Macaca mulatta: one gene and its partners. The protein of the gene in region 1 interacts with the protein of each later gene in a pairwise test. Links are inferred from orthologs where the notes say so. Each region holds a gene or a part of one and is shown on either strand. Other genes may lie near its edges.

What was found.
Region 2: the proteins of CCDC57 (region 1) and TMEM100 interact in binary tests that used the Homo sapiens proteins (3 or more experiments, as listed by UniProt). The two-hybrid records come from large-scale screens. The link is inferred for Macaca mulatta from reciprocal best matches to the Homo sapiens genes CCDC57 and TMEM100.
Region 3: the proteins of CCDC57 (region 1) and SFI1 interact in a two-hybrid assay, tested with the Homo sapiens proteins (2 studies listed by BioGRID). The two-hybrid records come from large-scale screens. The link is inferred for Macaca mulatta from reciprocal best matches to the Homo sapiens genes CCDC57 and SFI1.

The regions. Positions count from the first base shown.
Region 1 is NC_133421.1:91,874,182-91,877,741, forward strand, and holds part of CCDC57 (coiled-coil domain-containing protein 57), read right to left. Parts: intron 1,246-3,560; coding exon 1,023-1,245; intron 236-1,022; coding exon 83-235; intron 1-82. UniProt on the Homo sapiens protein: Pleiotropic regulator of centriole duplication, mitosis, and ciliogenesis. Critical interface between centrosome and microtubule-mediated cellular processes. Centriole duplication protein required for recruitment of CEP63, CEP152, and PLK4 to the centrosome.
Region 2 is NC_133421.1:54,258,445-54,262,781, forward strand, and holds the start of TMEM100 (transmembrane protein 100), read left to right. Parts: upstream 1-1,487; 5' UTR 1,488-1,607; intron 1,608-3,072; 5' UTR 3,073-3,137; coding exon 3,138-3,542; 3' UTR 3,543-4,337. UniProt on the Homo sapiens protein: Plays a role during embryonic arterial endothelium differentiation and vascular morphogenesis through the ACVRL1 receptor-dependent signaling pathway upon stimulation by bone morphogenetic proteins, such as GDF2/BMP9 and BMP10.
Region 3 is NC_133415.1:20,004,974-20,009,162, forward strand, and holds the start of SFI1 (protein SFI1 homolog), read right to left. Parts: upstream 2,851-4,189; 5' UTR 2,336-2,850; intron 1-2,335. UniProt on the Homo sapiens protein: Plays a role in the dynamic structure of centrosome-associated contractile fibers via its interaction with CETN2.

The DNA of each region.
Region 1 (3,560 bases):
TGCTGTGACTGGACTTTCTGCAGGGGTCAGATTTCAGTTTATAAAGGGACAGCAAGGAGCCCAGTGAGACGCGGACTCTCACCAGTCGTCTCTGTCGAGGTGCGGACGCTGGGCTGAGACTCGGCACGAGGTGAGGACATCTTTAAAGGATCCAGCACATCTTCTAGATGCTCTTCCAGAGTTTTAAACTTATGCTTTAGAGTTCGTATTTCTGCTTCAAGGGCCAGAACATAATCTGCCAAAAAAAGCCCAGTGAATATAACACACACACACACCCTTTCGCACCGCCCTCCTGTGAGCACCAGCTCAGGGAGCCGATGCCAGCTCGTGCCCGCTGCCTCACTGTGCCTGTCCTCCTGTCCTCCCCGCACGAGAGCTTCACAGCAGTTTCCACACTCTGTGTGTGTGTCAGACTGAAAGACCTTCCCTCCCCTCACTGGCCAGAGTGTGCCAGCCAGAGACCAGCATAGTCTCCATGCTCTCCAGGAAGGGCTCAGCGATCAGGAGCAAATGTTTCACCTGCTGCAGCCCACGTGCCTCTGTGCGAGGGGCCAAGTCCCACCTGGAGAACGGAAGCTCTGCATCCATCCTGGCATCCGCCCACCCACAGCCACTCGTGGGGTTCCCGGGCATCGGGCGCCCTCATCAGCTCTGCCACGGACACTCCTCTGGAGGAAAGGCCTGCGGTCCACCAGCCCCTGCTACCAACCCACTCTGGGACAGCGCGACACCAAGCCAGCCCTGGTTCAGGTCTAAAACAGGTTTTTTAAGTGTGTCAAGCAGGTACCCTCATTTTTTCCTTCTACTTTACAAATATAAAAGCTTTTTGGTATAAAACTGAAGATTCCTTCTCTTGGAGAAAAAGCAGTTTTCATGCTTTGAATTTATTACAGGGGATGTTAACTTACAGGACTCTGAAATGAAGCCTCCTTGAAGCCAGTCGAGACCCATGCTCCCGTCTGTCCTCCTCCCTCCCTCTCCCACTTCCCCTCCCGCTCTGTCCCTTTCTCCCTGTTACTCACCAGGAGTGGCGGTGTCTCCCCCAGCCTTTGGGTCAGGCTGGTTTGCATCTGTGCTCTCTGCCGCTGTCTGGGCGGGAGGAGGAATCTGATGGCTTAGAGCCTCCATTTCTTTCCTCATCTGGGCAATCGCGCTTCGCAAGCTCGTGTTCTGCTCTCGGAGCTGCTGGATCTCACTGGATGGAAAGTCTTTACTTATTTCTTCTTCATGCTGCCCGAGGAGCATCTGTCAAATACAAGGAAAAATGACTACAAAAAGATGAACGGTTCCCCAGCTTGTCCTGGCAGGCTGTGCCTCCGCCCTCCCTGCTGCCCTCTCGGGGCCAGTCCCCTGCTTGAGCTTGGGCTGTGGTCCCTCCCCATCCCCGGGGTTGTGATATCCCTCCTTTCTGGCCTGACAGAGGTGCAAATATGACACTCAAATTCCTGAAGCCTTCCATACTGTTGCGGTCACTAGAGTGTCAAATCCACAGAGGCAGAAAGTGGAATGGGGGTGCTGCGGCTGGGGGTGGGGAGGGGGAGCCCGTGTTTCTCGGGGACAGAGCTTCAGTTTGTGAAGATGAGAACGTTCTGGAAAGGGTGGTGTGATGGCTGCATCTCCGTGTGAATGAGCTTCATGCTGCTGAACGGTGCACCAAAAAATAAAGCGGCCAGCTGTGCGTTATGTACACTTTAGTACAGTCAAACATCCACTGAATAGGATGAACAGCAGGTTCGGAGCACGCAGAAGAAAAGGTAGTGAATATAAACACCAGGCACCAGAAAATACCCAAACTGAAACTCAGATGGAAAGGGGCCAAAGGAGGAAAAATGAGCAGAGCTCTGAGACCAGAAACAAGCTGCACAAGGAACCAGGAGCCCAGACGAACATGAAGGCAGGAGACGCGTCTACAACAAGGCCAAACACATTACAAATGCGATGAAAACCGTACATCACAGATGACGAAGCTCAGTGAAGCCTAAGCAGCATAAACAGAAAGAAAATCATACCAGAGAGCATTGCACAATCAAATTGCTGAAAAATCAGCGACAAAATGGAAACTCTAAAAGCAACCAGAGAAAAGAGACATGTTACACTCGGGCCAAAGGGCAGGCATAGGGATGACAGACCTCACAAGGAGCCACCAAGGTGGGAGGACAACGAGGCGAGGTGGCTCTGGTGCAGGAGGAGAGACAGGCCCCACCCACCCGGTTCTGGGGTGAGGGAGTGTCCTTCTCTAACCAAAGGTGAGGGCACTTCTGCCTCCGACCAGGAGGGACTCGCCGCTATGAGTCTTTCCCTCTGGCTGTGAACAACTAGAACAGCAGCCACATTAGAGGAAACACCTGCTTCCAGACACCAGCACAGACCCCGGATACCGGAGAGGGAAACACAGTCCCAGGGCTCTGGCCCAGCTCAACCATGAGTCCAGCCAAGATGTGTGCAAAAGGCACAGCTTCCTCTTCTGCAGAGCCACCCTGAGGGATGCAGAGCCTGCTCCCTGCTCCGCGCTCCGCGAACACAAGCCTGAAGCAAGACCTGGACCCCTTCCCAGGGTGCTCTGACTCCCTGGCCCACTGGCTCCTCCATGCTCAGCAGCAAGGCCAGCCGGCCTGGGCTCCCAGGAGGAGAGCTTCACACGCCATGCTTAAGAGTGGAGATAATGCAAACAGAACGTGAACCTCAACTGGCAGTTCAGAAACGGAGACAGTAAACTGCCCACCGCAGTGCTGTGATAACACTGGTGAACAACATGAAGGACCATTGGTGAGAAAATTGCTAGGTGCGTTACGGTGTGGCCACTTGATAAAATATGCAGACATTTAGATTCTGTTTGTGAAGAACTGTAATGATATGGGAAAATATTTGCGGTAGAACCAAAATGAAGAAAGAATTCTCCTGGAGAAACAGTCACATGAGCGGCAGACCGCTGAAGGCCGCGCTCGACCTGGCCAGCTACAGACTGGGATACCGAGTGCCCACAGGCTTACCAGGCTCTGTCCTAGGATGCGCTGAGGGTGCTGGCTGCATGGCCTCACCGGCTGAGCATTCCCGCCACAGCGGCAAGCAAGGCTCAGAGGGCTCGGCAGTGTGAAAGGAAAATACCATTAAGCTAAAGGGAAAAGTCAAGCTGGGAACTGCTCAGGGCAAACCTGCCTCCCATTCTATTCAGTCACCCTCTGCTCACTGAGGTGAATGCACATCTCACTGCCTCCTTTGGAGAGGCTCATCAGAAACTCGAACGAATGCAACCATCTGTCTCTTACCTACCTATGACCTGGAAGCCCTCTCCCCACTTCAAGTTGTCCCACCTCTCCAGACGGAACCACTGTTCATCTCACACATGTTGATTGATGACTCACGTCTCCCTACAATGTATAAAACCAAACTGTGCTCTGACCACCTGGGGCACATGTCATCAGGACCTCCTGAGGCTGTGTCAGGGGTGTGCGTCCTCAATCTTTGCAAAATAAACCTTCTAAATTAACTGAGATCTGTCTTAAGATTTTCTGGGTTCACACTTTGGTAACCACAGGGAGATTCTGAGTGGAGACGCCTCT
Region 2 (4,337 bases), about 38 Mb from region 1:
TGGTAAAGGAGAGGTAAGATGTTGAGAACATCCAAGCCCTTTGCCAGCAATTAGAGAAACATAACAATTTGACAGAAAGACAGAAAACAAATCTCTTCCAAGAGTTAATTTGGATTTATGGTTCACAGTATTAATTAGAAGGGGTTATTAACACATGTGCAGATGAAGAAAATGGAGGATGAAAAACTTTTAACTACAAAGTGTAGGATGAGGTCCCAGTATTTTCTCCTCAAAAAGACAATCTTGGGCTTTATGTATTTCAAGGTTTTAAAATGTTCACAGTTTGTCTGTAAGAAACGATAAACCTATAAAGCCACTTACAGGTTTATGGGGGTGGGAAATAGATGTTTAACTTTATTGTTTGAGCGTATGATGTGTCAAGCTGTATATGTTTGAATGTTTAAAATACCTTGTTCCTTAAAGTGGGCCAAGGAACAGAGGTCTTGACATAGGTAGGAGCTTGTTACAGACTTACTGAATCAGAATCTAAGTTTAACAATCTCCCCAGATGATATATGTATCTATTGAAGACTAGGGTTCAAACCAAGGGTTTCTCTGTTACTGGGTGATCTTCGTTAAATTCCTTAACCTCTCTGAGCCTGTTTTCTCATTTATGAACTAGTGAGAATTAATGTTAATGTGTGACATTTCTTAATATTGTGCCATGTCCAGAGTAGGTGCTCTATAAATGGTAGCAATTATCATGATGATGATAATCTTGGCGCTGCTAAAGTTACCTCCTTGCAAGAGCAGTAAACAATCATGTTTAAATCAATGTGACTGCCTTCCCCCCTTAACCGCAAACATTTGTGCCTCCCACCCTCATTCCTAAATGAATTAACACTGAACAAGTGGGGTTTTAAGCTTCAGATGACTATCACGCACATATAAATAAAGAATAATGGGAAAACCTAGGAACATGGATTTTTGCTGGCTTAGAGACTGAATTCAGCTGCCCCATGACTTCACAGCTGTTTCTGCCGCCCTAGAGTGTCTGTCCCCTCAGCTCTGTCCCCTCAGCCGGGTCTGCAACGCTGACTCTGGGATTTTCTTATAAAAATGCCTGATGGACGGGAGGAAGATCTGGAGGTCGGCAGGGGAAAAAGTGAGTCATTCAAATTCACAAAGCAGTCCGCTTAGTAAATGCTGCAAGAGAAAGAAAAGTAAAAGCTGGCTCCTGTCTCTGGGGTATCTGTAGAAATGATTCGGACTTATCATGTCACTGAGCAAAGTTGGGGGAAGCCAAAACTCAGAATCTGCTGGCAAGGAAAAGAACGAAGGAAAAAAAAAAAAAATGTTAGGGAGGGGCAAACTGGAGGGGGAGGGAATAAAAAGAGAGGGAGGGAAAGACAAGCGTCATTTAGGAACAGAGGTAGCCTGAAAGCAGCAGGAACTCCAGGAGATTCCAAACCAGACCAGACCTTATAGTAAAGTATTTTTACATCTTTTCTTTTCCCCAGAAGAGATCCCTAACCTATTATTTTATTGACAGCCTTGCTGTTAGAGGCTCTTTCCCAGAAGTTGGACGAAGAGACTCAAGCGTTGCTGTTTCTTCCCTTCCAAGTCAAGTGGTTACTCTGGTAATGGATTGCCTCTCGGAGGTGAGTGTAAGTAATTTGGGGACAGATCTTGATTTTTAGATTAGCTCAATCTCAGCTTTGGGGTGAAGATATCTTTTTCGGACATAATCTCAAGTATCTTTTAACTGGCCTCACCAGAAGTCAGGGTGTCATTGGACAACAGTGATTAATTAGTTTGGTGATTAAAAATGACATGTGAGTAGGCAGCTCTAAGATTGAGTTCCTTGCTCAGGGAGTAATATTTTGACTTTCCAGAGCAGGGAAGAACCAGTGATGTTTGATCTGGAGTTGAATTTATTTTCAGTGGATGCTTAATATATTCAAAATATTAATCTCATTGAAACAGTCTCAAGTATCTTTCTTTAAACTTGTTCAGTAACTACAACTGCTCAACTGTGTAGCAGCTAGACGGCTTTTTGAGAATGGAAGACAGTGACTCAACCATGTCTGGGCAGCAGACACGTTTTCACTGATTTCTCATAGACAGCATTTCAACCAGATGCTTTTGATCAAAAGTCTCAAGCTTTGTCCTGAAATGTTCAGGTTCAAAATACTTAGAAAGCGTCATTGCAGCAAGTTTTATACACAAGGGCATGGAGGAAAATGAGATTTCCTGAAAACCTAGCATGCTTATTTGTTTCCGCACGTTGTAGTATACATAATATCAAAATTTTGTGTTGAGCTTAATAGAAAATTTGTGTATTGATAACTAATTACTCTAATAATTGATTTTATTTTTGCCAGGAGAAAGCACAAAATTATATCCTATGAAGGGGTTGAATTTTTTTTTCTTATTTTTTCTCTGTCATAGCAGATTGGAAGACAGTGTTACATTTCAGATCACAAATCCCCACCTCATTGTCAATGAATTTTTTGCTGAACTGTGCACCTAAAATGGTTAATAAAAAGATCCCAGGGAGCAGGTTGCACTGTGTTTAATAGTAACACAATAAAGATTTTTTGACTGTCATTCAATGGAGAAGAACATCATTTATTGCTGGCCACTTGCCTTGACATTGATTTTGTGGGCAGCGAATAGGTGACAGTTTGGAAAGAATGCATGTTATGCCCAGCAAGATTGGTGGAGTCTGAGTTGCTGTAAGTTCTGGGATTAACGGTGTGAAATATTGTTTGTAATGTATTCTCCTCTTGAATGAAACCATTTTTGGATTAGGATTCAGGCATTTCTGTGTGTTTAGAGGAAGGAGAAGCAATAGACAAAGGAGAAAAGCTTGTAAAACATTTGTAGACCGCCAGGGTATATTAAACACTGTAAGTGCTTCCTGCTTTTTCTGTCTTCCCTTCACGTGCATCTGCTTCATCTTATTTTTTGCCTAAATGCAAAGAAAATGCAACCAATTCAAAAAAAGAGTAAAGTTGCTTTTCACATGGATCTATGCCTCCTGGAAAAGAGGTGCCTCCCCAGCTTTTTATTTCTGCTTGCAGGGTTCATTCTGATACATGTAGCTGACATCTCCTGTTATCTTCACAGCTTTCACCCTGGTGAGACTGTCCAGATCTAGTCTGCAAACCCACCTTAGAAGCACTGTTGTAAAAATGACTGAAGAGCCCATCAAGGAGATCCTGGGAGCCCCAAAGGCTCACATGGCGGCGACGATGGAGAAGAGCCCTAAGAGTGAAGTCGTGGTCACCACAGTCCCCCTGGTCAGTGAGATTCAGTTGATGGCTGCTACAGGGGGTACCGAGCTCTCCTGCTACCGCTGCATCATCCCCTTCGCTGTGGTTGTCTTCATCGCTGGCATCGTGGTCACCGCGGTGGCTTACAGCTTCAATTCCCATGGCTCCGTCATCTCCATCTTTGGCCTGGTTGTTCTGTCATCTGGACTTTTTTTACTAGCCTCCAGCGCCTTGTGCTGGAAAGTGAGACAAAGGAGCAAGAAAGCCAAGAGACGGGAGAGTCAGACAGCTCTCGTGGCAAATCAGAGAAGCTTGTTTGCTTGAGACTGAATAAGACCAAATGGGCTATTGGGCCTGGAAAACCTGCTCTGACTTTGTCACCCAATTCACCCAGAACCATGGTGGGAGAGAACAGATTTGGCATTGGAGCAGACTGGAAGAATAGGGGTGGGAGGGTGGAGGGGCTTCTCCTTTGTGAGGAATGACTCATGTCTTCTTTAACGACAAACTTAATCCTAAGGGCTATTTCTGAGACTGCAAAATCAGCTTTCTATTTACATTAAACATTTTGGGGGTCATGGGAGTGCACGGCATTAGACAGCGTTTGGTTCACCCTGTAAAGTAGCCAAGAAAAGATGAGAAAATAACAAGATAGGCTTGGCACACTAGACATTTGCCTCCAAAAGAAATAACCCACAGTCTTAAGATGTGCCATAAAAATGTTCTGCCAAGGATCTAAATTACCTTGGGCTTCGCATATATCTATGAAATTCTGTGATAATTTTTTGCAATACATTGATTCACTGGCATCTGTTTTTATTTTTCACTTTTAATAACTCATCACTGGTGGTACTTTATCTTGAAGAGTAAACTAATATTTTTTATATTTTAACATTGGACAGTTTTAGCCAGTTGTAATGATGTGTCAGAAGTAAAGAAAAACCCATTAAAGGTCTAGCTAATAGATGCTGTTGGGGGTTAAATTAATAGTAAAATAATCCAATAGAGCACTTTTGATGATTTTTATATAAAAATCAAGTGTACATTTCATTCAGAATAATAAATACTTATTGCTGCTAAAACTTCTTAAATGGTTGTTTCTGTTGTAGTTATTTCTAT
Region 3 (4,189 bases), on another chromosome or scaffold:
CTAACAGGTGAAACCCCATCTCTACTTAAAAAAAAAACAAGCATGGTGGCGAATGCCTGTAATCCAAGCTACTTTGGAGGCTGCAACAAGAACGCTCGTACCTGGGAGGTGGAGGTTGCAGTGAGCCAAGATTACACCACTGTACTCCAGCCTGGGCAACAAGAACAAAACTCCATCTCAAAAAAAAAAAAAAAAAAGTCTAAGAAAAACTAAAATTATTAGGTGTTGACTCCCAGTTAAACATGTAGATTGACCTTCTAAGGTGATAGTAAAGAATACAAAGGAACAAACCATAAGGTTAAAGAGATGAGAGAAGAGATTATAGGACACCAGCGATTTCCACAGTTTTACAAGGAAAATGAAGTGGCCTAACAGGTTTGAGGAAATGAAAAACTTTGATTTGAGGATACCAAAGGAAAGCGGGCCACACAGATTTCCAATCCTGTCAGACAGGGTATTCAGGTCCCTTCTGCTGTCCTGCTTCCAACATTCTGGTAGCTAGATGGTACCTTTCAGGCAGGAGACTGGAAAAGTCTTCTCAGAAAACACTAAAAACTAACAGATCTCCAGATTCTGAAACATGTGCTTTACTCTCCATCAATGAAAAAGCAGACTTGTCCCTAGATTACCCTAAAGTGAAGCCCATGAACTCCGCAGTCCTGCTTAGACACTAGGAGCTTCCAGCTAATTTCTCAGTTACACATTTTTTTTTTTTTTTGAGACGGAGTCTCACTTTCTTGCCCAGGCTGGAGTGCGGTGGCTCAATCACGGCTCACTGTAACCTCTGCATCCTGGGTTCAAGCGATTCTTCTGTCTCAGCCTCCTGAGTACCATCACACTTGGCTAATTTTTTTGTATTTTTGGTAGAGGAGGTTTCACCACGTTGGCCAGACTGGTCTTGAACTCCTGACCTCAAGTGATCTGCCCGCCTCAGCCTCCCAAAGTGCTGTGATTACAGGCATGAACCGCTTCCCCTGGCCAGCTTACAACTTTTCTTCTGCAGCTTCCTCATCTCTCCCAGTCCTCACAGAATTGAAGAGAATTAGGGTCTTGCTCAAAATTAGGTTTTGGTTTAAGAAAACATTGTGGCTAGTTTGATCTTCTATCCAGACTACTAAAAGTTTCTCCATATCAGCAATAAGGCTGTTTAGCTTTCTTATCCCTGGTGTGTTCCCTGGAGTAGCACTTTTAATTTGCTTCAACAACTTTTTCTTTATATTCACAACTCGGCTGTTCGGTACAAGAGGCCTAGCTTTCACGTTATTTCAGCTTTTGATGTACCTCCTTCACTAAGCTTAGTCATTTCGAGCTTTTGATATAAAGTGTGACATGAAACCCTTCCTTTCACTTGAACACTTAGGGTTCACTGTGGGGCTATTAATTGGCCTAATTTCAATATTGTTGCCTCTCAGGCTACAAGGAGGACCAAGAGGGAGGAGAGAAACAGGGAACTGGCAGGTAGGTGGGGCAGTCAGACACAACACTTAAGTTTACTGTTTTATACCAGTGAGGTTCATGGCGACCTAAAACAATTGCAATAATAACATCAAAGATCACTGATCACAGATCACTGTAACGGTATACCTGAAATAAAGTTTGAAATATAGCGATAGTTACCAAAGTGTCAGTGATAGGAAGTGGGCACATGCTGCTGAAAAACTAGTTGTTCGGCGCAGGACTACTTGCTACAAACTTTCAATTTGTAAAAAACACAATACCTATTAAGTTCAATAAAGCAAGGTATGGCTGTACTCAAGTCCCTAGCATCATTCATTCAACAAATATTTACAACACATCTACACAGCACTTAGGAAACCTGAACAGCCTCCCATAAAATAAAAACATGCACCCACCTCCCACGCGGGGAAGGCTTCAAGGTTTGTTTACTGCGTTACCCCCTGCGGGCTCGGTGGGGGAAGGTCGCCCATACACCAGCCCTTCCGCTCTCCTGGGCCACTTAGCCGGGAGAAGGAAACCCCTCATTTGGATCCGCGTACGCTAAGAAGCATTGCGTAGACTCGAGCACCGGCCAGGAGCGCACTAGACGCCTGGGAGGATGCGGTGCCCCCGGGGCGCAGGACAAGAAGCCGAGGAGACGCGGTGGGAGAGGATAGCGGGAGAGGATGGCAGGCTCCAGGCCCCGTCCTGCGCCCTCTTGTCGCACTTCCTCCATTCCCGCACCACAGACCCGCAGGTAGGCAACATCACCTGCACTTTTAGGGGAGGAAGCAGAGGCTCGCACAGATTTCACCGGACTCGGAGGGACCCGACTGAGCTCCCTGCCGGAGAGGCCGAGCCCATAAGAGGGTGGGGACGTTAGGATCGGGCCTCGTACCTGGGGAAGCCGAGCCATCGGGCCTGACGCTGGGAGAAAACCCGGCGGGAGAGGGCTGTCCGGGACCTGCTTCGTAACTCCCGCGCGGCCCACGCCAGCCTCAGCGCTTCGCGCGCCTCTAGACGCCAGTCTCGCGCCGGGCCCGCCCTTGTCTCCACGGCGACGCGGCGCGCACTAGGACCACCCCATTCAGACCCCGGGGCTTGCGCAGCCTCAGTCGGGCGGGTGGCGCACGACCGGTCGCTTTTGCAGCAGCCGCAATGAGAGTCGGTTCCGAGGGGCGTGGGAAATGCACCGTCTGGGCATCCCCACTGAGAGTCTTTGGCTCGCTAGCTTAGCTCTGAGCTCAGGTTGCTACTGCTCCTCTTAGACGAGAGAAGTGAGAGGCATTCCGAGGCGGAACCCCGAGTTAACACCGCCCGGGGTCGAGCACTAAGGATGAGGTTCCAGCTGGGAGGTGGCTGCGAACGAAAGTCTTCCTTCCCTCACTTCCGGGCTCGTGCGTGAGCCTCTTTGGCTTTTCGTTCACGGGGAGTGGAAACCGGAACCCGTGGAGTATGACCCGCCCATGCGTGTACCCGGCAGATTGCTACAACTTGCACTTGGAGGGGAGAAGTCCCATGGCCCCCGAATTAGAAATCCCAGGCTTATCTCTTTTTTTAACCCTTCATTTGAAAATGTAATTAATAAGCACTCCTTTTTGTTAAATTTTTTAATTTGGGCCGATCCTAATAAAAACAGGAGTGGGAGGGGTAAGTGGGACTTTTGAAATACTTTTTTACTGTGCTTTGTAAAACGTTTGAAAGCACGTGAGATTCCTGGTGCAGACACTAAAAGCAGTAGTTAAATACTTGAAAGATTTTACGCTAAAAACATGAGGAAAATTAACTTGTTGGGTGTCTCGGGGTTAGAATCACAGATAATTTGTATTTTTGTCCTATTTTCTACATGCTAATTTTTGCAATTAAAACATTTATTATTTATTTATCTATTTATTTTGAGAAGGAGACACCCTCTGTTGTCCAGGCTGCAGTGCAGTGGCACGATCTGGGCTTACTTCCACCTTCACCTCCCGGGTTCAAGCGTTTCTCCTGCCTCAGCCTCCCAGGCGCACGCCACCACGCCCGGCTAATTTTTTTTTTTTTTTTTTTTTAGAGAGACGGGTTTCACCATGTTGGCCAGGTGAGTCTCGAACTCCTGACCTCAAGTGATCCTCCCGCTTCAGCCTCCCAAAGTGCTGGGATTACAGGCGTGAGCTACCGCACCTGGCCCTGAGGCGGATCACTTGAGGTCAGGAGTTCGAGACCAGCTTGGCCAATATGGTGAAACCCCGTCTCTACTAAAAATAAATTTAAAAAAAAAATTAGCCGGCCGTGGTAGTCCCAGCTACTGGGGAGGCTTAGACAGGAGAATCGCTTGAACTCAGGAGGCAGAGGTTGCAGTGGGCTGCGATCGTGCCATTGTACTCCAGCCTGGGCAACAAGAGCAAAACTCTGTCTCAAAAACAAACGGCCGGGCGCGGTGGCTCAAGCCTGTAATCCCAGCACTTTGGGAGGCCGAGACGGGCGAATCACGAGGTCAGGAGATCGAGACCATCCTGGTTAATACGGTGAAACCCCGTCTCTACTGAAAAGTACAAAAAACTAGCCGGGCGAGGTGGCGGGCGCCTGTAGTCCCAGCTACTTGGGAGGCTGAGGCAGGAGAATGGCGTGAACCCGGGAGGCGGAGCTTGCAGTGAGCTGAGATCTGGCCACTGCACTCCGGCCTGGGCGACAGAGCGAGACTCCGTCTCAAAAAATAAAAACAAAAAAACAAAAACAAGGCCGGGCGCGGTGGCTCAAGCCTGTAATCCCA